4 linked regions of the Macaca mulatta genome follow. The protein of the gene in region 2 interacts with the protein of the main gene of each other region in a biochemical or structural test. Links are inferred from orthologs where the notes say so. Each region holds a gene or a part of one and is shown on either strand. Other genes may lie near its edges.

Region 1 (6,348 bases), on a different chromosome or scaffold from region 2:
AGGCTGAGGTGGGAGGATTTGAGCTGCAGAGGTAGAGGTTGCAGTGAGCTGACATCACACCATTGCACTCCACCCTGGGCAACAGAGTAAGACCTCTCTCTCTCTCACTCTCTCTGTTTTTTATATATATACATATATATATATATAATATGTGTGTGTGTGTGTCTGTGTGTGTGTTTAACACCACTGCTGGACACGATGCTAGCAGTACCCACCCCTGTTTCCCTGTCATCACAATAAAGCGTCTCCAGACATTGCCAAATATCCCCTGGAGGACAAAATCATCCCTGGTTGAGAACCACGGAATTATATCAATGACCATCACAACCCTAAATGAACTAATTAACTCAACTGTACATTTTCTCCACCTCTGCCCTCAAAAAGTGACTGCTGCTTGAGAAAATTACACAGGAGGGCAGAAAATGGTGAATTCATTTTTGCCCATATTAAAAAGGACCTCAGTATTGCTTATCAGTCCTACAACATTTTTCTGTCAACTTGTTGTATTACTTTCTACAATATTCCCAATCTTCTCAACTTTCCTTTAAACTCCCAATACCACTTCCTTTTCTATCGGAAGATGACCCCATCTCCAACTTCACAGAGAAAACAAGTTAGCAAATGAGAACTTTTAACTTCCTGTTACTAAACATACAGAAACATACTTCCTGTCATAACTGGGGAGATATCTCCTCTATCTCTCTTTCTCCCCTCCCTCCTCTCTTCCAAAACCATTCCTCTCACCAGTGTTTTGAATTGCCTCTAAACTGCCTCTATTCTTACCCTTTCACCATCTTTGCCTACTGACTGTCCCTTCTCTTCCTTTATTCAACCGTTTTTTTTCCTCAGTTGAATCTTCCCTACCATACTCAAGTTTCTCCTGTCTTAATTCTAACAAAAAAAAACAAAAACAAAAAACCAATAACAAAAAATCTTGATCCTTCATCATTCTCCCTCCTTCCTCCCTGTCAAGGCCAAACTTTCCAAAAGCATTCTACAACTTGTCCCCATCTCTACATCTCCCCCGTCTCCAAACTAATAAGTTGTTTTTTTCAACCCCAGCATTCCACCAAACAGCTTTCACTGACATAATCAGTGACCTCTGTGTTATGAAATTTAAAAAAAACATTTCTCAGGCTTCATCTTCCTTGATCCCTTAGGAACCGACAGACTATTTCCTCCTTGAAGCACTGTTTTTTTGTTTGTTTTTTTTGTGTGTTTTGAGAGGGAGTCTGGCACTGTCGCCAGACAGTGATAGACATTATGATAGTAACGTAGCTGGGATTACAGGCGCCTGCCACCACACCCAGCTATTTTTTCTTTTTTTTTTTTTTTTTTGTCGGGGGTGGGGGGCAGACGGAGTTTTGCTCTTGTTGCCCAGGCTGGAGTGCAATGCGTGATCTTGGCCCACTGCAACCTCCGCCTCCTGGGTTCAGGCGATTCTCCTGCCTCAGCCTCCCGACTAGCTGGAATTACAGGCGTCTGCCACCACACCCGGCTAATTTAAAATATAAAAATATAAACATACAAAATATAAAAATACAAAATTTATATATATATATATATATATATATATATTTTTTTTTTTTTTGAGACAGAGTCTTGCTCTATCGCCCAGGCTGGAGTGCAGTGGCTCGAGCTCGGCTCACTGCAAGCTCCGCCTCCTGGGTTCAGGCCATTCTCCTGCCTCAGCCTCCCGAGTAGCTGTGACTACAGGCGCCCGCCACCACGCCACCACGCCCGGCTAATTTTTTTGTATTTTTAGTAGAGACGGGGTTTCACCGTGTTAAGCAGGATGGTCTCGATCTCCTGACCTCGCGATCCGCCCGCCTCGGCCTCCCAAAGTGCTGGGATTACAGGCGTGAGCCACCACGCCCGGCCATATTTTGTATTTTTAGTAGAGACGGGGGTTTCTCTATTTTTGCTAGGCTGGTCTCAAACTCCTGACCTCGTGATCTGCCCGCTTCAGCCTCCCAAAGTGCTGGGATTGATTACAGGTGTGAGCCACTGTGCCTGGTGAAGCACTTTATTTTCTTGATTTCCAGCAGTTTGTTTTATTCTTAGAGGTGCATGGAAGGGTTCCTGCAGCAAATAGTTTACAATAATCATCCATCTGCTTAAAACTCTTCAATAGTTTTCAGTGCCCATAGTACAAAGTGGTCTAAAATTCCAAGGCCTTCCAAAATCTAGCGATTGTCGGCCTTCTAAAGCTTTCTTCCCTCTACACTCTGGGATGTACGATTAGCACTAAGCCTCTTACAAGGATGAACTACTAGAAATTTCCAGAAGGCGTTATGCTGTTCTCGACATAAGCTGTTTCCCAGAGCCTGGAAAACTCTAGCTCTTTCTCTGCCGGATTTCCGGGGGAACTCCTACTTATCCTTCAGGACTCAAGTCACTTCCTCCGGGAACCCTTCCAGACACCCCTAAGAATAAAACGCTTTGTTCATTATCAGCCAAAGGCGCCTCAGATTTTCTATGTGCTATGCACTGTATTCTATTCACTATAAATTTGTTTACATATCTATATCTTAGTCTAGACATATTGAAAGACGCTGAAGGGCAGGGAAAGCATTCTATTCGCTTTCTTTTCTTCATCGTTCATCCAGCACACTGCCTGGCACACGGTTTGCCCTCAGTAAATGTTTATTGCATGAACACCTCCCAGCTTCGGGCATGACCGGAATCTATCCGGTTAACTGGTGAATTCCCAGACTCTCCGCCTGCGTGGCAGGGACATTTAAACCCCCAGCACCGTGATTGGCTCCAGCTGCAAGGGTGTGTCCGTGTCCTCGGCGCACGGGATGTGCGCAGGCGCGCGGGCTCGGCGCGCGCAGGCGCGACTAGGGCGCCGCGCCAGGTCCGGTGTTGGGGTGTCCGAGCTGCGGCTGGAGAGGAGTGGCCTTACCCGCTTGGTGAGTCTCCAGGAGTGGGACGGAGGGAGCTGACCGGGATGAAGTCGGAGAGTATGTCCTGAGAAGAAAGAGTATATCGTATTGGTTGAAAAGTTGGTGGGGTCGGGCTTAAGCGGAGGAGGGGGCGCTCTGGCCCTTACTGGGCAAATGGGCCCGGAGCGAGGACGGGAGGTGCCGTGAGAACATCGAGGGGCCAGTGGAGGAAGGTGGCTGGATGGTGATTCTCTGGACCCTTCCTCGAAATTAAACAGAGATCACCTCCCGTCCCTCACCCCCACTGTGTTGCTGTGGTTGACATTAATAGACTGCATGTCTGGTGACCACGGTGACCAGATAGCTCTGAGATAATGGCTTGAGGAAGGACTCTCAGGTTCCTGGTATTGGATAGCACTTTCTCTGTAGAAAGGTTCAGCCTTACCTCGCGGCACAAATTAGAGGATCAGGAAAAGAATGAATTCCACAATTCGGGATTGTAGTGGTGGGGGGAAAAAGTACTGTAAAGTGCAGTTTCATCTCGTCCTTTTTTTCTTCTTTAATCATTAGTCACCACAATGTTAGGAAAGGCAGTTGATGGTAGGAGAAAACGTAAAGACATAAAAGTAGGGGAGAAAAAAAGTCAAGAAGGGAGTATCACTTTGCCTTTTGCTATTTGTCATCTCCTGGAATGGAGTCTGTATTAGTCCGATCTCACACTGCTATAAAGAAGTACCCGAGGCCGGGCTTGGTGGCTCATGCCTGTAATCCCAGCACTTTGGGAGGCCCAGGTGGGAAGATCACTTGAGATCAGGAGTTCGAGACCAGCCTGGCCAACATGATGAACTCCCATCTCTACTAAAAATACAAAAATTAGCCAGGCATGGTGGCATATGCTTGTAATCCCAGCTACTCCGGAGGCTGAGGCAGGAGAATTCCCTGAACCTGGGAAGCAGAGTTTGCAGTCAACTGAGATCATGCCACTGTGCTCCAGCCTGGGAGGCAGAGTCAGACTCCATCTCCAAAAGAAAAAGAAAAAGAAATACCTGAGACTGGGTAATTGATAAAGGAAAGACGTTTAATTGACTCTCAGTTCTGCATGGCTGGGGAGGCCTCAAGAAACTTATAATCGTGGTGGAAGGCAAAGGAGAAGCCAAGTACCTTCTTCACAAGATGGCAGGAGAGACAGAGTGAAGGGGAAAGAGCCCCTTATAAAACCAGTATCATGAGAACAGCATGGGGGAAACCACCTCCATAATTTAATCACCTCCCACCAGATTCGAGATGAGGTTATGGGTAGCCAAACCATATCATTCTGCCCCTGGCCCCTTTCTTTCTTTCTTTCTTTCTTTTTTTTTTTTTTGTTTTTGAGACAGAGTCACCCAGGCTGGAGCGCAGTGGCGCTATGTCGGCTCACTACAACCTCCAACACTTCAGCCATCCTCCTGCCTCACCCTCCTGAATAGAGACTACAGATGCATTCCACCAAACCTGCCTTTTTTTTTTTTTTTTTTTTTTTTGAGATGGGGTCTTGCTCTGTTGCTCAGATTGGAGTGCAGTGGCATGATCTCCGCTCACTGCAACCTCCATCTCCCAGGGTCAAGCAGTTCTCCTGCATCAGCCTCCCAAGTAGCTGGGATTACAGGCGCCTGCCACCACACCTGGCTAATTTTTGTATTTTTAGTAGAGATGGGGTTTGGCCATGTTGGCCAGGCTGGTCTTGAACTCCCGACCTCAGGTTATCCACTGGCTTCCACCTCCCAAAGTGCTGGGATTACAGGCGTGAGCCACCGCACCTGGCTAATTTTTGTATTTTTTAGTAGAGACGGGATTTCACTATATTGGCCAGGCTGGTCTTGAACTCCTGACCTCATGATCCACCCGCCTCGTCCTCCCAAGGTTCTGGGATTACAGACGTGAGCCACCACTCCCGGCTCCCCTGGCGCTTTTCTAATCTCATGTCCTCACAGTTCAAAACACAATCATGCCTTCCCAACAGGCCTCCAAAGTCTTAACTCATTCCAGTATTAACCCAAAAGTCCAAGTCCAAAGTCTCATCTGAGACAAGGCAAGTCCCTTTTGCCTAGGAGCCTGTAAAATCAAAAGCAAGTTAGTTACTTCTAAGATGCTATGGGGGAATAGGCATTGGTAAATGCTCCCATTCCAAATGGGAGAAATTGGACAAAACAAAGGGGTTACTGGCCCTATACAAGTCCAAAATCCAGTGGGACAGTCATTCCATCTTAAAGCTTATTTTAATCTCCTTTGACTCCATGTCTCACATCCAGGGCATGCTGATGCAAAGAGTGGGCTCCCAAGGGCTTGAGCAGTTCCGACCCTGTGGCTTTGCAGGGTTCAGGCCCAGAGGCTGCTCTCCTGGGCTGGCATTCAGTGCCTGCGGCTTTTCCAGGTGTATGGTGCAAGCTGTTTGTAGACCTGCCATTCTGGAGTCTGGAGGATGGTGGCCATCTTCTCACAGCTCCACTAGGCAGTGCCCCAGTGGGGACTCTGGGGGGGCTCCAACCCCATGTTTCCTTTCTGCAACACCCTAGCAGAGGTTCTCCTTGAGGTCTCTTCCCCTGCAGCAGACTTTGGCCTGGACATCCAGGGATTTCCATACATCTTCTGAAATCTAGACAGAGGTTCCCAAACCTCAATTCTTGACTTCTGTGCACCTGCAGCCCCAGCATCACGTGCAAGCTACCAAGGTTTTGGGGCTTGCAGCCTCTGAAGCAACAGCCCAAGCTGTACCTTGGTCCCTTTTAGCCATGAGCTGGAGCAGCTGGGACTCAGGGCCCCAAGTCCTGAGGCTGCCCACGAAACCATTTTTTCTTCCTAGGCCTCAGGTCCTGTGATAGGAGGGGCTACTATGAAGATCTCTGACATGCCCTGGATACATTTTTCCCATTGTTTTTGTGATTAACATTCAACTCCTTGTTACTTATGCAAATTTATGCAGCTGGCTTAAATTGCTTCATAAATTATTCAGTGGTCTCAACTCACTGAGATCACTGAGTGATCTCAGGAAAATAAAGAAATATTAGCAAATAAGAGAAACACCTTACATTGCCATACTCCTTTGACAGGTCATGTGAAAGTAATTTAAGTGATCATGTAACTTAGCCTGCAGTTTGAATATTTGTCTTGGTAGGTTTTTCTTTAGGTGCTTGTAGTATGTGTTTATGCACTAGAAAGTTGGTGTTGTTATAGTTCCAGCATAAGGATGACTTACTGTGCCATTATTTTCCTAACAATATTATACCATTTCATATAAACAGTGGAATTCCTATATATATCTTGATGTTTGTTTCTTATATGAACTTAGATACACTACACAAGCTCACTTAACTAAAGGTCACATCTTTTCTTTTTTTTTTGTTTTGAGACGGAGTTTTGCTCTTATTGCCCAGGCTGGAGTGCAATGGCACGATCTCGGGTCACCTCAATCTCTGCCTCCCGG
Region 2 (5,584 bases):
GAGGCAGGCCCTGGCCACGCAGGTGCCCGAGGTCAGATTTTCTCGCCTCCAGCACGGCCTCCCGGTCTGGGACCCCTCACCCCCAAGCCCACTGGCATCTTCAAGAACCCAGAGTAAATCTTTCCACAGCCCCAAATTGTGCATGAACCCAGGTCAATGCTACACCAACTAAGCCAGTGCCCCGCCCTCAGAAGGCAAAATGGGTCAGGTGGGAGCAGGGTGGACTGCCTCAGGAAGGGCAGGAGGAGAGAGGGACGCCCAGGGTTCACCATGCTGCGCTCCTCGCCCTAGAGATTTGTTGGATGGCAGCATGAGACGGATGTCTCTGCGCCCAGAGGTATCTGGGTCACCGTGTGTCCCTGTGTGGGCTGTTCCTGCTCAGGGTCAGGAGGTGGCTGACTGTGGGGTGGGACGGAGGGCTCTGAAGAGCAGGGGAGCGGGCCTCTCGCTGCTGGCAGGTGGGGTGGGCATGGGGCAGCAGAGCTGTCTCCTCCACACCTTGGGTCGTGCAGGCCACCTCCTGCACCGTCTCCTGCTGCGGTGTCATGCACAGTCATAGGGACTGGTTCTGAGTCACCACCCGTGAGCTGAGCAGTCCCAGGCTCTTGCTAAGGGGAGGGGGCTCATGTTGGGGGTTCTAGGGCACAGGTGGTACAGAGTTAAGAAGTCTCGAGGAAAGATGGCAGTGAGTGGGGGGCTCTCCTGGGCAAGGCGGGCTCTGCCTCCTCTGGGGGCTGCCATCCGGCCTGGGCTATTTTGGGTCTGAGCAAAAGAGGCTGAGACGTCAGAGCAGCTGGTAACCGACTTTTCCTTTGTTCCTACGGATGAGGCGCCCTCCTCCGCGCCTCGGAACCCCCACTTCCCCGCTCCACCCCACCGCATTCCACTTGGGAGGTGACCCCATCTGGGGCTTTCCTAATAGCCACTCTCGATACCCCTCCCTGTCCCCTCTAGGACAAACCCCAGCCCCAGAGGCAAGCAGAGGGGTGGGTGGGAAGGTGACAGCCGGAGCTCAGTCCCAGCTTCTCCTGGGGCGGAGTCCTGGGGGTGTCCTGAGACTGGGGTGTTGCCAGGAGCACCCCCAGGGGAGGCAGCTGTCATGCCCCACTTTTCCAGCCAGCTCCTCTCAGGCAGGGGGGCAAGCTGGGCACCCCCATGACCTCTGCCAGCTTTAGGGAGATGGTTCTAGTTGGAACAAGGGTCACAAAACACTATGCCACCACCCTCCTCCAATTTCACCAGGGCCCCAGCTACCTGCCACGGCCAGGGCCGACTATGCCCACCTCTTTGGACCTCAGGGCCCACATCAGCGCCCACCCAGGCCATCCACCCCTTGCCCCCTTCCACCCACCGGGCACTTAGCACCCCGGGAGGCGCAGCTTTGTGGGAACGGCAAGGTCTGCCCCACCCAGAGTGTTTGAGCCTGCGACTCAGGGAGTGCAGGATGGCCCCCTGTCAGCTCCCTGGCTGGCTGCCTACCCTCCTGAGCCACCAGGTAACACCAGGTGAGCCCGCACCGCGCCCCCCCCCCCAACTTCAACTACAGCAAGCATCAAGTCACTGTTCCTGGTGCCAACTCCAGCATCGCCAGCTGCTCCACAATTATTTCTGCCTTAAATTTAGACCCATCTGTTATCTCCAGGGGGTGGGGGCGCCGGCAAAGGAGGAAGGGAGGCTCCTCCGAAGACAGCACAAGAGGGGGTGAGGCTGCAGCTGGTGCATCCCTGGCCCAGAATTAGGGAGGGGGCAGGCAGAGCCTTAGCCAGGGGAGCAGGGGAGAACCGGGATCTACCCAGAGCCCCCATTGGGCCCCCTGTGCTGGAGGCTGAGTCTGCACATCAGTCCCCGGCAGAGCCTAGGGGGCCGCCCCCACCCTTTCTACCTCCCCAGAGACGAAGGAGGAGCTGGAAGAACTCATGTCCGACATAAAGAAGACAGCAAACAAAGTTCGTTCCAAGTTAAAGAGTGAGTCAGGCTTGTCTGGGGGTGGGTGGGGGGCATTCTAGGCCTGCTTCCTCTGGGGAGCCCATGGGGTTTTGCTCACCCTGAGGGGGTGCGCCGGATCTTGCTTTCCTTTCTGAGGGTGGCGTCATGTGCCCATTCACTCAACAGCTACTTGGCAAGGCCCGTTGGTGCCAGGCTCTGGGTTGGGCCTGGGGACACACCCGCCCGAGGCTTTGTCGAGGGAGGGCTCCACTCTGGACGGGCACTGCCCCTCACCTCTGCTAAAGAGGGTTAAAGAAGTGGCCAGCACTTCCTGGTCTCATGCAGAAGCCCCGTATGCTGGGTGAACGGACACGTACACCCCGTGAGTGCCAAGGCCTCGGGGCCACATGCCCTGCAGCAGGGGCCCCCTGGCTCTCCCCGCTGTGGGCACGGCCCCTCGTACACAGCCTCTCTGAGCAGAAAGGGAGCGGTACCCAGGCACAGAGTGGCCGGAGCTGCCAGACCTCACACACACTCAGAGCTTGGAGTGGGTGTGCATTTACACACGTGCACACACCACACAACGTCACAGCTGGAAGGGCCTCTGTAGGCCCCTCCTCCATCAGTGCCTGGCACTGACCCCACCAGCCACAGGCCACACACATACCCTAGGAGATGTGGGGAGGTGAACAGATGCAGGATGTGCGGGTCGGGGGCGGGGGTAAAGGGGGCTGGTTTTGACTCAGCACCCACCTGTGCCCCCAGGCATCGAGCAGTCCATCGAGCAAGAGGAAGGCCTGAACCGCTCCTCTGCTGACCTGAGGATCCGGAAGACACAGGTGCGGTCGGGAGTCTAGGGTGGGCGGGCACCTGAGACTCTGGGTCGGTCCCCGCGGGGCCTGATCCCTGCACCTGCATCTCGGGCCCCCAGCACTCCACGCTGTCCAGAAAGTTTGTGGAGGTCATGTCGGAGTACAACGCCACGCAGTCCGACTACCGCGAGCGCTGCAAGGGCCGTATCCAGAGGCAGCTGGAGATCAGTGAGCTGGGGGCGGGGCCTGGGGCTGCCTCAGTGAGCTGGGGGCGGTACCTGGAGTGGGCGAGGCGTGGAGGGGCGGGGCCCGAGGCTGCTGCTTAGTTAGAGGCCCGAGGGGCGGGGCCCGAGGCAGCCGCTGAGTTAGGGGCTGGAGAGGCGGGGGCCTGAGGCTGCTGCTGATCTCGGGGCTGGGGGGAGCCCGGGCCTGGGACTGTAGGGGGCGGGGCCCGAGGCTGCTGCTGAACTCCCCGGAGAGGGCTGGGCTCAGTGTGACCCCACTCGCTTGCAGCCGGCAGGACCACGACCAGTGAGGAGCTGGAGGACATGCTGGAGAGTGGGAACCCCGCCATCTTTGCATCTGGGGTGAGTGTGGGCCCCACCCCTCCTGCCATGATCCCCTCACCATGTTACCCACGTTCATGACCCCTAGTGCAGGGTCTGGACAGTATGTGGACACAGACCCCTTGTAAGGCAGGTTTTAAGGCAGGAGGAGTCCCAGAGAGGGGAAAACACAAGGCTGAGGTCACATAAATGTCTGTGGCAAAGGTGGACTCAAGACCCCTGTCTCCTGATGCCTCCCAATTGGACCCACTTCCTTTCGCCGGCCGCCAGGGGCTTCTCCTCTTATCCGTGGGCCCTTTTCCCCTTCTGGAGGACATTTGGCCATCTCCGTGTTCACGTGAAGCCGGGCAGGGGTGCTCCCTGAAGGAGGTGGCACATAGGTGTTCGAGGCAGGCTTGGGGTTGTGAGTTCCAGGAGAGAGCGGGGGAGCAGTCACATTCAGTGTGGGGGGAAGGGATGGGAGAAAGGCAGTTCCAGGCCTGGGTCCACGGGGCAGTCAACTTAGGCTCTGCAAAACGCTGGTGGTAAGGACTGTCACTGAGCACTCGCTCTGTGGCCAGCACAGGTGGAGAGTGTCACTAGCCGCAGGTTACAGGTAGGAGATTGGGTCGCAGAGAAATTACATAACAGCTAGCAGGTGGCAGAGCCAGGTAGCAAGGCAGGCAGGGCTGTGGCTGGGGAGGAAGCCTCGGGTCCCCTTCCGGAGCAGCTCTGCCCTCCCCGTCGGCCCTCTGCCCTGCCCCTCAGCAAGCCTCTGGGTCCCAGCCCCCTGCTCCCACCCCCAGATCATCATGGACTCCAGCATCTCAAAGCAGGCTCTGAGCGAAATTGAGACGCGGCACAGCGAGATCATCAAGCTGGAGAACAGCATCCGTGAGCTGCACGACATGTTCATGGACATGGCCATGCTTGTGGAGAGCCAGGTGAGCGCTGGGCCCCCTGCCCTCCACTGCAGCCCACACCAGCACCCAGGGCTGCACTAACCTCACCCTTTCTGCCCGACACGCTGCCCTGCCGGGGAGAGACCAAGTTCTCAGGTAACCAATCACCCGCTGTTGAAACTGCCGCCAGGACCCTGCCCACCTGAAGGTCCCTGTCCTCTGCATGGCTCTGCTTGACCTTCAAGGACCCCAGGCCCTGCATGGCCCCACCCCCTACACCCCGTCATCTCTCATTCCCCTACTGTTTCCTCATGGGGCCACTGTGGGCCATGCATTTCCCCAGTGACCAGGACAGCTGAGGGACCTGCTTCCTGGAGTGAATAGCTTTTGGGCAAAAGGGCTGCCAAAGAACAAATGGAAGGTTCTTCAGTGGGGCTCAAACTTGAATGAGTCACCTGGAGGACTTATAAGTTTCCAGGTCCCTGTCCCAGAGTCTGGCAGGTGAGGGAAGGCCGGGAAGATACCTGTCTGACAAGCTCAAGGGTGGTGCCGCAGCCACTATGGTTCCAAAGTTACACTCGGAGTAACACTGTGCCCACGATGGGGCGGCTGCCTTTGTTGGAGTGAGTGGTCAAGGAAGGCCTCTCAGGAAGGGGCATTTGAACTGATGCCAGAAAACGGTGAAAAGGAGCCAGCTGTGAAGACTTCACAGTGGAAGATGAAGAGCTGGCCCCAGCAACACTAAGGTCCCAAGCCCAGCAAGACCCAGACTTATTTCAGGAACAGAAAAAGGAGGTCCATGGTGCTGGGGCACAAGGAGTGGTCGGAATTGAGATGAAGCTGGAGACGAGGTGGACGGGGCCTTGGCAGGCAGTGTGCTGAGGAATTTGCAGTCTCTTCTAGATTGGAGGGGATTTGGGTTGTTTTTTTTTTTTTTTTTTAGCAAAAGATGGGATCTTGCTGTGTTGCCCAGGCTGGTCTCGGAACTCCTGGGCTCAAGTGATCCTCCCACCTCAGCCTCCCAAAGTGCTGGGATCATAGATGTGAGCCACAGCACCCAGCCAGGTTGGAATGTTTTAAGTATGGGAGTGACGTGACCTTGGTTAGGAAGCAGGGAGGCCGTCAGGAGGCTGCTGCTGCCGCCATCTGGTGAGAAACAGACCACAGTGACGTGGACGCCAGTGAAGGCAACCGATGGACTTGGAGAGGGAGACACGCCCTAGGAGTCTTGTGGGGCAGTGTCATGGTCAGATTGGCCTCTGGGGTATCATGGGATCAGATCACAGGACTCAAGAGGGCTGTGGGGCTGGGCAGGGTTTTTTTTGTTTTGTTTTGTTTTTTGTTTTTGTTTGAGAGAGAGTCTGGCTCTGTCGCCAGGCTGGAGTGCAGTGGCGGGATT
Region 3 (6,244 bases), on a different chromosome or scaffold from region 2:
CCTGGCACATGTTTAACTCAAATGCAGATTCCCTCGCTCCTTCTCAGGAACCAGAAAAATCTAAAATGCAAAGAGGTAAAGCTCCTCCCTTATCCCTTATTTCTTTTCTTTCTTTTCTTCCTTTTTTTTTTTTTTTTGGACAATAATAATGTCTATTGAGATCATCTAGTGACTTTGTTTTTCTATTTATCACCAACACATTACTCATTAATATGTAGGAAGTAGATATCCTACAGATGGATGAATTCAAATCTTATTAAGTTTAAAAATAAGAATATATTTCGGTTAAGTATGTTTCAAAGTCACAGTAAAAGAAAACACATTTCAATATAAAAATAGAAAGTGAGCAGTCTGTACTGCTCTCACTAAAAAATTATCTTGAAAAAAATCTTTTGAAGTATTTGAAAAAAATGCTTGATAAAACTAATATAGTTCATACATAACCAGGAAAATTCTTTCTATACTAGTAGTTTAATGTATAGTAACCTAACAGTTTTTACAAATACATAACAAATGTAGACTATGAGAGAAAAAATATATCAAGAAAATAAATTTAACCCTATGCATTTTTCAAGAAAATGCTCTAAAAAATGGTAGAAGTATTAACCATTTATAACTTTATAGAAAATTAATTTGCTGCATTTATCTTCTGCTAATTATTTTTCTACACGGACATGTCAAAAACAACCAAATTCAGATTCAAATCCAATCTCCAATTTATTAGAATAGGTCATAAGTTCAATATCTACCATGCATAATATTTTTTAAATTGTCTTTAAATCTCATCCTTAACATACCCCATTCATCAGACCAATAGTATAAGCAGATATATTTTTCCTCATAAACTTCTATCTCCTTACAAATAAAATAGTTATTATAACAAAACTTTAGACCTCTCTTTGGATATATGTTTAGCTACTATAAACGAAGAGCTGAGAAACATCACAGCAGTATATAAGCTGAATTATAATCAAGGGAAAAGCCAACACATGATTTCTCATAGTATATATCTGATCACACCAACAGGAAAATAAAAATTTTCTTTGGAACTAATCCTCAGAAGGACTGGGGAGAAGTTAAAAAAGTAGAAGTTAAAAAATAAAATTAAAAAAAGGATACAGCCTTAAAGCACCAGTCTGAGTTCCCACCGCCAGGATCTTCTGTACAGGATCAAAGGCCAGGGCTGAGGGTTGATAGGGAAATCCATGGCGAACAGTCTAGGGATGGGCAAGTGACATCACAGCAACCAAGGCAGCAAGCGAAATTTAAAAATAGAAAAGTCAACAGAGGCGTTAGAATTTAGAACCACTACCACTGATGCAAAACACATACACATGCACTTACTGCTTTTAAAAAAAATAAGTGAAACCTACACTCACAAAGTCACTCACATAGAACCTGAAACAAAAACCTAGTCCAGCGATATACTTTAATTTCGCTTTTCCATACTGGTATTCCATAGAAGAAAATATTTTATTAATATTCCATACTATTACATCGACACCAAATGACTAAAGTTTGCAATAGTACAAAATTCTGTAAACCCATTAAATGCAATTCATACTTTATTTTGGCAGTATTCATTTCATCATTATTTTATTTGGATGCTAACGCAAGTACTTCTAAGGAAAAGCTGTCATATAATTACTTTAGTCAAGCATTCAGTAGAGCAATAATCAAACCTCTATCTCAACATTTTACACTTGTAACAGAACGAAGATGAGTACAACATATATTTTTGCAATTTACTATTAAGGCCATAATCATTTTAGGGCATTAGACATACACACACACACACACACACACACACACACACACACTTTTAAGAAACTCTGACATACAAATACATAGCTATTTAAGAGAAAGGCAGGTATTAATACCGAGACAAGTTTGTGTTTCTTATTAAGCAGCTGGTGAATTAATTCGCTGCATCATTCTTTCTGAATTACAGAACGCTATGGCAATCATCGTGCCATTAACAGGCAAAAATCTCAGTACTAACTTTTTAACAAACAATGATAAAAAGAACCCTACGATTTCATATCGTAAGCCACTCACCACATTTTAAGGGAAAAGTGATGAGCAAAGGTGTGGTAGAACAGGTTTGGCTTTTTGATAAACAACATTCATTAGACACCGTTTCCAAAGGAAACTTCGAAGTTGGTGAATCATATTAAAACGCTTGAATATAAAAGCTTCCAGGTTATTACTGGCAGTGTCAGAATACAAATTAAGGGTCGGATAATAGTTTGAAGCAACCTTGAACTGACTGCTGCATGTGCAAAGGGAAGAGAGAAAAATCAACGAGAAGGAGTAAAGGTATCAATCTCCAAAATAACCCACCGAAGAAAGGTTTGCCAGGGGAGGAGCGAGCATTTTATTAGAGTTATTATTATTACTGGCGTTCTCTTCCCTTGCATTCCCATGTAAAGCCCGAGTAGCCCCCTTAAAACAACCCCAATTTTTCAATGACGGCGTCGCGGGGCTGCGCGCTCCGTTCACCTTGCAGAGCTGAAAGTGCTCGGACTGGAGCGTTTCCTGGATCTCCGGCTCCCGGTTCCCAGGCGGATGCTGCTGCTGCTGCTGCTGCTGCGACGCCGAGGACGAGCTGGCGGTCAGGCCGTCCAGCACCTTCCTGATGTTGAATTTCCTCATGGTCTCGGAGGGGCTCCCCCGCAGCCCGGGAGGGGAGGCACGGGGGTCCCCAGACGGGGGAGACTACCCGGGGCCGAGGGCAGTTTCGACCGCGGAAACGAAGGAGTGGGAGTGTAAGGGCAAGGAGGCAGCTGGAGGGAAGCAAAAGATAATCCGAACAGGAAATACTGCGACGACAAGAGAGGCGGCCGCAAGAACCCCGGGCGGCGACCCCTCTTCCTCCGAGGCCGCCGCTGCTTGGCGCGGCTGCTGCGGCGCCGCTTCAGCCGCCGCCGCCGCCTCCTCGCTCCGCGGCCAGGCAGCAGCAGCAGTGGCGGCGGCGCCCGAGCCCGCTCAGCCCAGCCTCACCTGGCCGCGGGCGGACTCTGCGCCGCGCCGCCGCCCCGGCTCGCCCCCGCCGCCGCCACCGTCGCCGCCGCGTCCATGGCCCGCGGCCGCGCCGCTGCTCGCCTGCCCCGGCCCCGCAGTCCCTCGGGCGTCCTCCGGCTCCTTCTCCTCCTCCCGGGGGTCGCCGGCGCCCTGTCCGCGGCCGCCGCTCGGCCTCCCAGCCGCTGCCCGCCCGGCCTCGCACACTAGGCGCCTGGGGTGGGTCCCCGCGCCGCCTGCCTCGCTCCGCCTCGCTCCTCCGCCGCTGGACCGGCCCGCCCTCGCCGCTCCCGAGCCCGGCTGCGTTCCTCAGGCGCCGCCGCGGCAGTCGGCTCTCCCCGCCCAGCTGCTCCCCCTCGCCTGACAGGGCGCCTCGACACACGACACCAACGCCCGCCCCGAGCAGCAGCGGCAGCCGCGGTTACAGCGCGGGCCACGGCGGTGGCGGCAGCAGGGCCTCCCCAGAGCCGGGCTGCAGGACCTGCGCATGCGCGCCACAGCCCAGTTCCCCCACCCTGGCCCCGCAGGCCCCCAGCCCCCAGCGGGAGCGAAGCTGGGGCTTAAATTATCTGCGAAAATCCCAGACGCTGGCTAAATTTCTCCCACCCTAGTCGAGTTGCCAGAGTATGCAGCTGCTTCTCTTGCAGCTGGCATAGTAAAAATGTTGACGACTAACAAGCGGCATGAAACCTTTCTTTCCAATTCAGTCATTACAGCAGGGGTTGATGCTTTCTCCCCGTTAATGGGGTGCACGCTCCCGGCCGCTAGCTGCAGTATTATTGTTCTTGCTTTGACGGGCTTTGTTTTTGTTTGATTGGATTTGAGTTTTGAAAAAGAACGTCTAGACAACGATTATGTCAGTGGCAGGAGGATGATGGGCTTAGGTACTAGGAAAGGAGAAACCTAGACGGGAAAAAAACGGGTTCTTTCCTGCAGCTGCGACTGTTGGTGGAACGTGTCTGGCCTTAACAGGTACCTGCTGGGACGGAAGAGGCTGCCAGCGGGGAACGGCTCCAGTGCCGGTGTCAGCCCCGGCCGATGACACTACCCCGCACCCAGCCGCTCCCGGGGAGGAGCGCGGGTGGCAGGAAACGCCGCGCTGCCACTCTTGTTCAGAACCTTCAATCCGCCCTGACGCTGATTAGCCACTCAGTAATCTCCCGGGAGCTTCACTCTTGAACAGGGAAAGGGGGATACGATGAAGTTTTTGCTCAGATCTTTCCGCGGCCGCACTGCCCATCTCGCGTGGATGCTTGGAGACAAATGCCTGGCTCAAGTTGGCAATGACAGAGATTGTGCCGGGGAAACCTCCCGGAGAGTGCGTTCAACCGGACAGGTGGACGGAAGCACAGGTAGTTGATTAGAAGGATGTGGAAATAGGAAAGACGTAAGGAAGGAGGGAAGTGCAGGGAGACTAATCCTAATTCGGGGAGAGGGGTATAAGTTCCTAGCAAAGGACTCCTCGAGCGCTCTGGTCTGCGGAAAAGCCACGGAAGCGCTACAAAGGGTTTTTTTAAGTTCCAAACCAGTCAGAAGTACCCGCCCTCTTCTTTGTGATTGGCCGGCTCCCTCTCCTTTAGGGAAATTGTCGTCACCCTATTGGTTGATGTGACCAGCATTCAAAAGCAGCGAACCAACTACGACTGGACCCAGGGATTTCGGGAAATGTAGTCCACTCTGCAGCTTCCGCATCCCAGGACAATGTCTTACATTTGGAACGTACAAAATTTTGATTTGTCGTTTAATATTTATTGAATTAGTTGATTCACTGGGTGCAACGGCCAATAAAACAAATTTGAGAACATTCTTAAACTATTTCCAGGTGGCTCTGAATTTTTTGTCTAACATTTTGTTGTCAGGCGGTGTGCTAGGTACTAAAGACAGGAAAATGCAATTCTTGCTTTCAGCAAGCTCACCACAGTCTAATGAGACGACTTTTAACATAAATGGTAATTGTAAAACGATGTGATGAGTTCAATGATGGAATAATGAAGGAGGACGGCAGAGGGCCACTTAACTGACCAGGAAGGCTTGGACATGGTGACTCCCACTATAGATCATGTCAGATAAGGAGGAGCAGACCAAGCAAACAGAAGGCAAAGACCATTGGAAGACGATGGGGAGGAGAGCCTCAGAATTACCTTGAGAGCTTTTTTAAAATACATGTGACTCCACAGGGGAAAATTGCAAAGCAGACAGATGACAACCCCATAGAATTGTACAATCTGCCTTTTTACTTACCTAGGTCTAAAATCTATTGGATAATTTTTCATCATTGGATTATAAAACTTTTTGGAAAAAAAAGACAACTTCTTGTTGAGGGACCTTGTGGTATAGTGGGAAAATACAGGCTTTGTTGTTAGCTAGCCATGAACTTCAGTCCAGGCCATGGTAATATGTGTAATCTTGGGCAAATTTTTAAATTTTTCCAGGGATCAGATTCCTCAGGTTTAAAATGAGATTAACACCACCTTCTTCTTAGGAATTTATGAGAATGAACCGGAGGGGGAAAAGAAAGAATATGAAAAGTTTGTACTACATTGCTTAGTACTCTGTAGACACTCAAAAATGTCAGTTTCCTGTTCTACTATCAGGGTCCTTGAGGTAAAGGGGACCTCAGAAAGTCACGAATTTAAGCCAGTTTCCTACTTCTGACTCTAGAATTTTTGTTTTTATTTCTATACTCCTATCTTTTCCATCAACTTATGAACTCATTCTGACATTCTTAAAATTTCAGTTCTTAGTGGATACCTGGAATTTAAGATGAATATAGCTTACCTTTGTGAACTTGCAATCCATCCTCTCTATGCTCAGGGACACTGGGACTTTTCCAGAAATCCATATGGCCAAAACCAACAATGGCCCAAAATAACGACCTTTATTATAGCAAAGATAAAATAATCGATCCTCAAACTCACGGTAATTCTTATAAGTCAGTTAGAATGAATCAATTCGTTTTTCAAATTAGAACTGAAATTTTAAGAATTTTACTTGAAATTAATTAAACATTTTAAGTTTAGAATTTAATAAATTAAAAATAAATAATCTATATTACTCATTTTTAAGTTGAGCACAAAACGGAGAATTTTACCCAGCATAATTTCTCAGAAAAGTTGTGTTTATTTGTTTTATTTGAATGAATGAGTAAGTATGTTGATTTCAAGCATTGAACAGCTTCTGCCTTTAGGTGACATTCTCTTGAATGAAACTATTTCTTACCTGT
Region 4 (6,112 bases), on a different chromosome or scaffold from region 2:
CACAAATCTAGATGGTGTAGCCTGCTATACTCCTACACCATATGGTGTGGCCTATTGCTGCTAGGCCACAAAGCTATACAGCACATGACTGTACTGAATATTGTAGGCAACTGTAACACAATGCATTTCTGTACTAGACATGTCTAGATGTAGAAAAGGTAAAGTAAAATATGGTATTATAATCTTATGGGACCATCATTGTATATGTGGTCCGCTGATGACCAAGATGTCATGTGACACATGACCGTAGCCCCTGGCTGACATTCCCTGTCCCTGCCATCCCCTGGCGGCCCCATACTCACTCCCAGAACTCTACCACAGCGCTGGTCATGTTGGTGGTGTTGACCATGCTGTAGTTGGAGAAGCAGCGGTCCGTGTTCCAGGGGTTGTCACACTGTTTCCACGGCAGTGTCTGCAAGGACACAGTCATGAGGACACATCCCGCTGGGCTCCCAGGGGCTGGCATGAGTGGTCCCAGTGCACCCTGCCCACCCTCATGGTCCCCAAGCCTCCTCACACCTCCCTTTCCCAGCAGCTCTGGGAGGTAAGTAGCATTATGATCCCCATTTGACAGATCAGAGAGGGACAGTGACTTGCTTGAGAATACACAGCTACTAAGTGCCAGGGCTGAGATTTGAACCTCAACCCGTTCACTATGAAAAGAGCCTTCCAAGCTGCAGCCGGGGCTACTTCCCCACCATGTGATCTTGGGCAACAGATCTTGCCCATCTAACTCTCACTGCGATGACACCTGCAAACACTTACAGAGCTTGTTCTCTGCCAGGCGCAGTTCTAAGTTCCTTACACATATCTGCTCCTTAATCCTCATGAGAACCCTATGAGGTGGGTTTCACTTTTTGTTTTCTTTCATTTTTTAATTGTGATAAAATTATACATAACATTTACCATCTTAACTGTTGGTGAGTGTACAGTTTAGAAGCATTAAGTATACCCATAATGTAGCTCCCTTAGCCCTGCCGCACCTCTGCAAATATAGTCATGTGTCACTTAACAATGGGAATACATTGTGAGAAATGTGTTGCCTAACATTGTCAGCATCCAGCTCCAGAACTTTTTTCATTTCGCAAAACTGCAACTCCACCCACTAAACAACAGCTCCTCATCCCCCTACTCACAACCCCTGGCAACCATCATTCTACTTTCTGTGTCTATAAATTTGACTACTCTAGGAAACTCATATAAGCAAGATCATACAGGATTGTATTTTTGTGACTGGTTTATTTCACTTGACATAATATCCTCAAGGTTCATCCATGTTGAAGCACGTGCCAGAATTTCCTTCCTTTTAAAGGCTGAATTACATTCCATTGTATGTATAGACCATATTTTGCTTACCAATTCATTTATCAATGAACACTTGGCTTGCTTCCACCTTTTGGCTACTGTAAATAGTGCTGCTGTGAACAGAAGTGTACAAATATCTCTTTGAGAGCCTACTTTTCATTCTTTAGGTATCTACTCAGAAGCAGAATTGCTGGATCATATGGTAATTCTATGTTTAACTTTTTGAGGAACTAGGGCAGATTCTAATTTTATTTCCATTTTGTAAATGAGGGCACTGAGACTCAGAGAGGTTAAGTCTCTTTTCTGAAGTTGCACAGCTGGTATATAGTAGAGTCAGGAGTTGAACCCAGGCTGTCTGTGTCCATATAAAATGGACTAACAATACGCACTTTAGAGGGGTGTCATGAGGATTGGATGTGAGCCTACAAGGAGTGTCTGGCTCACAGGAGATGCTAAATTCGTGAGGCTATGGCTGTTGTGGGGAGACCAAGGCCCATAAAAGACAAACCAAGTTCCCCACTCCTGGAGGAATGACCTTGTCAGCAGAGTGGTGGCCACAGCAGGCGGAGGGTGGGCTCTGGGTGTGGCTCCTGCTGGAGGGGGTGGCCAAAGGGACCACTCACCGTGGTGAAGGAATTGTACAGGTAGTAGATGGCCCAGGAGATGATGACGATGTAGTAGATATTCAGCCAGAATGACAGCACCGCAGCCGCAAGGCCCACGCCTGGGAGCAGAACACAGACACACATCCATTTAATACAGACTTCACATGAACTGTCCTGGCATGTTCCATGACCTCTACAATCTTATCGATCTCAGAGAGAGGCATTACTGAGGACACTGAGGTTAAGAGAGAGGCAGTGACTTGCTGAAGGTCATGTACATCTGGCAAGCCAAGGGCCCAGGACTCATGTCTGGGGCCCAGTGCAGACTGGTGGCAGGCAGGGCTGGGGTCTCAGCTTGCCAGAGGAGGTGGGGCCCAGGCCCTCAGTCAGTAAGCATGACTCACCAAGTATCTACCTGGGTGCCTGTCAGCCACTGAGCACGAGGCAAAGCAAGTCACACCCAGCTCTCGCAGGGGAAATGAATGGGCTAACAGGACAGAACAGGCTGATGTGCGGGAGATTCTGGATTGGGCTTCTCCACCTCCATCTCCCTAGTTTCTGACCAGCACTGTCATCTGCCACCTGGCCCCTTGCAACAGCCCTCATTCTGCTCAGACATACACCTGATGGACGGATATGTGATGTCAACCCTGGTCTGGGTAGACAGCTCCCTCTCTCCAGAGGGGCAGGGGTGTGTGTGGGCAGGGGCACCACCACCCAGGGCTCCGCTCTGCAGACTTACCCTTGAACATAGGAGCCAGCTTCCATACCCCCAGCCCCCCGATGGAGGTGTACTGGCCCAGGGAGCACTCCAGCAGGAAGAGTGGGACCCCCGCAAAGATGAGCGTCAGGAAGTAGGGGATCAGGAAGGCACCTGCAGGGGAAAGAAGACAGAGCTCGTGGCCCCAAGACTTTCAAGACCTGCCCTGGTAGAGGGATTGCCATGGTTCTGGGTCCCCATCCAGGATTTCTCTATACCCGCCTCAAAAGTAGGACCCACAGCCAACTGCGGGCCCAAGGACAGCCTTACGTGAAATACATCCCATTTTTTGCAGGTGAGTAGATGAACTTCTTGGTATCATTAACAGAGGACAATCGTCCTTCGGGAATCTTTTGATAAAGGGATAAGAAACAAGAAATGGGGCCTGGTGCTCCCTCTGGAGTCTTTAGGGGAGCTTTTCTCCTACAGTTGCCCCAGAAAAATGCCTAAGCAGGATCCTTTTTGCAGGGTCCAGACCCAGCCAGGAGGTCTCCAGGCCAGCACCTACCCCCACCATTTTTCCCGCAGAGATAGGGGAACCTCCAGACGTTGCCCAGGCCGATGGCATAGCCCACACAGGACATGAGGAAGTCGAAGCGGCCCTTCCACGTGTCCCGGTCAGGGAGGTCCGCTGCCTTCTTCTGCACCTTGACCACCAAGGTTTTGGGCTTGTCATTGGCCACAGGGGCCTCGCTGACCTCGGTGGAGATCTGCCCATCAGCCACCTTGCTGCCGTTGGTCGCCATGTCTCGGAATTTGGACGCAGGGGTCCTGGCAGATGGACGTGCGATGTCAGCCCCGGTCCACGTGGACAGCAGTTTTGCGGCTCAAGGGCACCCTAGGAGGACAGGGGTAGGGTGACAGGCACAGAAAGAGAGTATGACCTTGGAGTTGCCTCACCCTAAAATGACAAAAACAAAATAACCCATGAACAAACTAGGGGCTTGAAAAGGCTCTCTATAAGCTCTTCCTCTCGCCCACCCTCGCTCCTGGAGGAAGGAAGGTGACTTTTGTTTCCAAAGACACAGCGATGTTTCCTGGCCTGGCTTCAACTCCGGCCATCTGTGTCCAACCCTCTGTTGTATGTCCTGCTCAGAGGAGAAATCTGAGGCCACCAAACTTCCAACATGAAATATTAAGTATTTAATCATAAAATCTTTAACTTTGCCTTCAAGGATGCAATTGGGAGCCTTGTCCCACTCTGCAGCCATACTAGCCATGGCCAGGGCGAGCAAGAAAGAAGTTCAACCTACGGTTGAATGGGGAGAAAGGTGGCCCCACTATGGAGGGTCCCAGTGAAGACAACAGAGCCTAGGAGTTACAACCTCTGATCACAGTCCACTTTACCACTTTTGAGCTGTATGACTTTAAGTACACTCAACCTCTGTGTGCCCCTATCTTTTATAATGAGGATGACACTGGTACATCTCTCATTGGGTTGCAGGAAGTCCTGAGTCTATACTTCTAACAAACTCTGCTAAAGGAGATTCTTATACTGGCAGCCCAGCCCTGGCCCTCAGCTAAGGACCACTGGTTTAGAGGACCTCTTTCAGCCTTCAGTCACCGCAAGATATTCTACTGACACCCTGAAGCCTTCTTACCTTTTTATTTCCAGGGGCAGCATGGGGTACAGTACAGTGGAGGAAACTGGGCTGAGAGCAGTCCTGAGTTCAAATCTCCAGTCTGCCTTCTACCAGCTGAGTACTACTGCTCAGTACTACTACTCAATACTATTAAGTACTGCTCTTGTTTGTGCTCAGTTTCCTCAAGTATAAAATGGGGGCAATCCCCTCTGGCTTGTAGAGTTGCATCAAAACTCAGCCGTAATCGCTGCAAGAGTGCTTTTCGTCAGCCTGGTTAAGAGGGAGAACTCCACTCATGGATGTTGTTACTGTGGCTGTTGATGTTACCTGATGGTTGTCGGGGGTGGGTCAGCTCCAGAAGGGCTCCTTCTGCCACTCTGGGTGAGAGCCTGCAAAACAGAGAAGGGAAGGAGAGGAGGGATGGCGAAGCAGCGGTGGGGCAGGCAGGCAGCTCCTACAGAGGGCAGCGGGGGTGCAGGAAGCCTGCCAGGTCGTCCGGGCTGTGCGTGTGTCCCGCAGAGCATCCCCAGCCAGGGTGGCCGCAGCGAGTCCATGCAGCATGGCACTGGCCCTCGGGGTGCTGGGAACATGCAGGAGTGGGGCCTGCTGCCCTCAGGACAGCTGTGGGGGTGGGATGAGGGCAGCGTGGAGAAGACATTCTATAATTTTATCAGAGGAGAAGAGAAACCAACAGAGGGGCTGCTGAGACTTTTCTCCATCCTCCATCCAAACTCGTGGAAATGTTACAAATAGGCCACGTAAGAACACGAGAAAGAGCACCTTGTTTTGGGGTGAGAAAGGCAGGTTTCCAGAGAGTTTATTTCGAATTATCCAATTTTTGCCCCCTCCCCCCAAATTTATTTTAAAAAAGGATATATCCAAAGATGACTACAATGCTTAGTTTATGAGTGACTTTTGTTTTCTTCTTTGTGCTTTTTTTTATTTCTATAATGTTCTACAAAAGTGATTTAAATTAATAATATAACACAAAATAAACTTGTGGAACCCTCGGAACAACCAGAACATGTGAAGCACCAGTCTGCGGACCCTCAGAGGTGGGAGCTGCGCCAAAGCAAGGTGCAGTGTGACCCTGGCCCTCCCCCCGTGACCTCCACCCTGCAGCTTTGCCCAGTGGGGGCCCAGTCTGCTGTGGACTGGCCCTCCAGCCCTTCACATGCAGTCCCCATTACCAAACACCATCTTCTCCTCCCAGAGTTCACGGAGAACCAGGCCATCTTCAGATCATCCAAACTTTCCTGCCACCCCTGCTCCTCGTTCTCAGGGATGGCCTGCTCACTTTGAGCTCCTTCACGGCACACAGGCTGGTCTTGGATGCCCATCTAGATCCTGGCCTGGGCATGGCAATGTTAGAGAGAGCTCTGGACTCAGTAGGGTGCCTGCCTCCCCTCCTCGAGAATGGCAGGAAGTAGGAGGCGGCCGATTCTGTGGTCTACCAGGGAGTCTTGGGATATGCAGGAGAGAGCAGCCTCAGCCATTAACTGTCCTAACAATGATGGCCTTGACTGTCCCATGATCTACCCTTGTGGTCTCCATCTGCCATATTTGTTCAAAATGATCCAATCACCTTGGATCAAGACTGACCACCTGACCCAGGCTAGCCAATCAAATTCCTTCCCTGGAAATTTGGCATGGGACCCAGGAAGAGGGGCAGTTTTGCCAGTGACTTGGGAACTCTGGGGCAGTCATCCTCTGCCCATCTTGTACTCAGAGTGAGAGTTGGTCTGCTGAGGAAGGAGAGAACTAGAGATCAAAAGATAGAGTGTCTTGAAGCTCCTAGTTTGCAGTTCCAGGCTTTCTTCAGGCTGGTACTTGGATTTTACAAAATATTCCCATAGTCA

Evidence for each region. The genes of interacting proteins can lie anywhere in the genome.
Region 1: the proteins of STX1A (region 2) and SNAP23 form a complex in vitro, tested with the Homo sapiens proteins (3 studies listed by BioGRID). The link is inferred for Macaca mulatta from reciprocal best matches to the Homo sapiens genes STX1A and SNAP23.
Region 3: the proteins of STX1A (region 2) and STXBP5 form a complex in vitro, tested with the Homo sapiens proteins (2 studies listed by BioGRID). The link is inferred for Macaca mulatta from reciprocal best matches to the Homo sapiens genes STX1A and STXBP5.
Region 4: the proteins of STX1A (region 2) and SLC6A1 form a complex in vitro, tested with the Homo sapiens proteins (2 studies listed by BioGRID). The link is inferred for Macaca mulatta from reciprocal best matches to the Homo sapiens genes STX1A and SLC6A1.

What each region holds. Positions count from the first base shown.
Region 1 is NC_133412.1:19,898,421-19,904,768, forward strand, and holds the start of SNAP23 (synaptosomal-associated protein 23), read left to right. Parts: upstream 1-2,838; 5' UTR 2,839-2,915; exon of another isoform or gene 2,916-2,966; intron 2,967-6,348. UniProt on the Homo sapiens protein: Essential component of the high affinity receptor for the general membrane fusion machinery and an important regulator of transport vesicle docking and fusion.
Region 2 is NC_133408.1:51,196,432-51,202,015, reverse strand, and holds part of STX1A (syntaxin-1A), read left to right. Parts: intron 1-1,890; coding exon 1,891-1,965; intron 1,966-2,691; coding exon 2,692-2,765; intron 2,766-2,857; coding exon 2,858-2,966; intron 2,967-3,251; coding exon 3,252-3,325; exon of another isoform or gene 3,326-3,368; intron 3,369-4,013; exon of another isoform or gene 4,014-4,089; coding exon 4,090-4,227; intron 4,228-5,584. UniProt on the Homo sapiens protein: Plays an essential role in hormone and neurotransmitter calcium-dependent exocytosis and endocytosis.
Region 3 is NC_133409.1:65,645,772-65,652,015, reverse strand, and holds the start of STXBP5 (syntaxin-binding protein 5), read right to left. Parts: upstream 3,511-6,244; 5' UTR 2,656-3,510; coding exon 2,503-2,655; intron 1,218-2,502; coding exon 1,120-1,217; intron 1-1,119. UniProt on the Homo sapiens protein: Plays a regulatory role in calcium-dependent exocytosis and neurotransmitter release. Inhibits membrane fusion between transport vesicles and the plasma membrane.
Region 4 is NC_133407.1:149,875,844-149,881,955, reverse strand, and holds the start of SLC6A1 (sodium- and chloride-dependent GABA transporter 1), read right to left. Parts: upstream 3,511-6,112; 5' UTR 3,417-3,510; coding exon 3,179-3,416; exon of another isoform or gene 3,148-3,178; intron 2,837-3,147; exon of another isoform or gene 2,785-2,836; coding exon 2,653-2,784; exon of another isoform or gene 2,622-2,652; intron 2,104-2,621; exon of another isoform or gene 2,055-2,103; coding exon of another isoform or gene 2,030-2,054; coding exon 1,929-2,029; intron 413-1,928; coding exon 303-412; intron 1-302. UniProt on the Homo sapiens protein: Mediates transport of gamma-aminobutyric acid (GABA) together with sodium and chloride and is responsible for the reuptake of GABA from the synapse. The translocation of GABA, however, may also occur in the reverse direction leading to the release of GABA.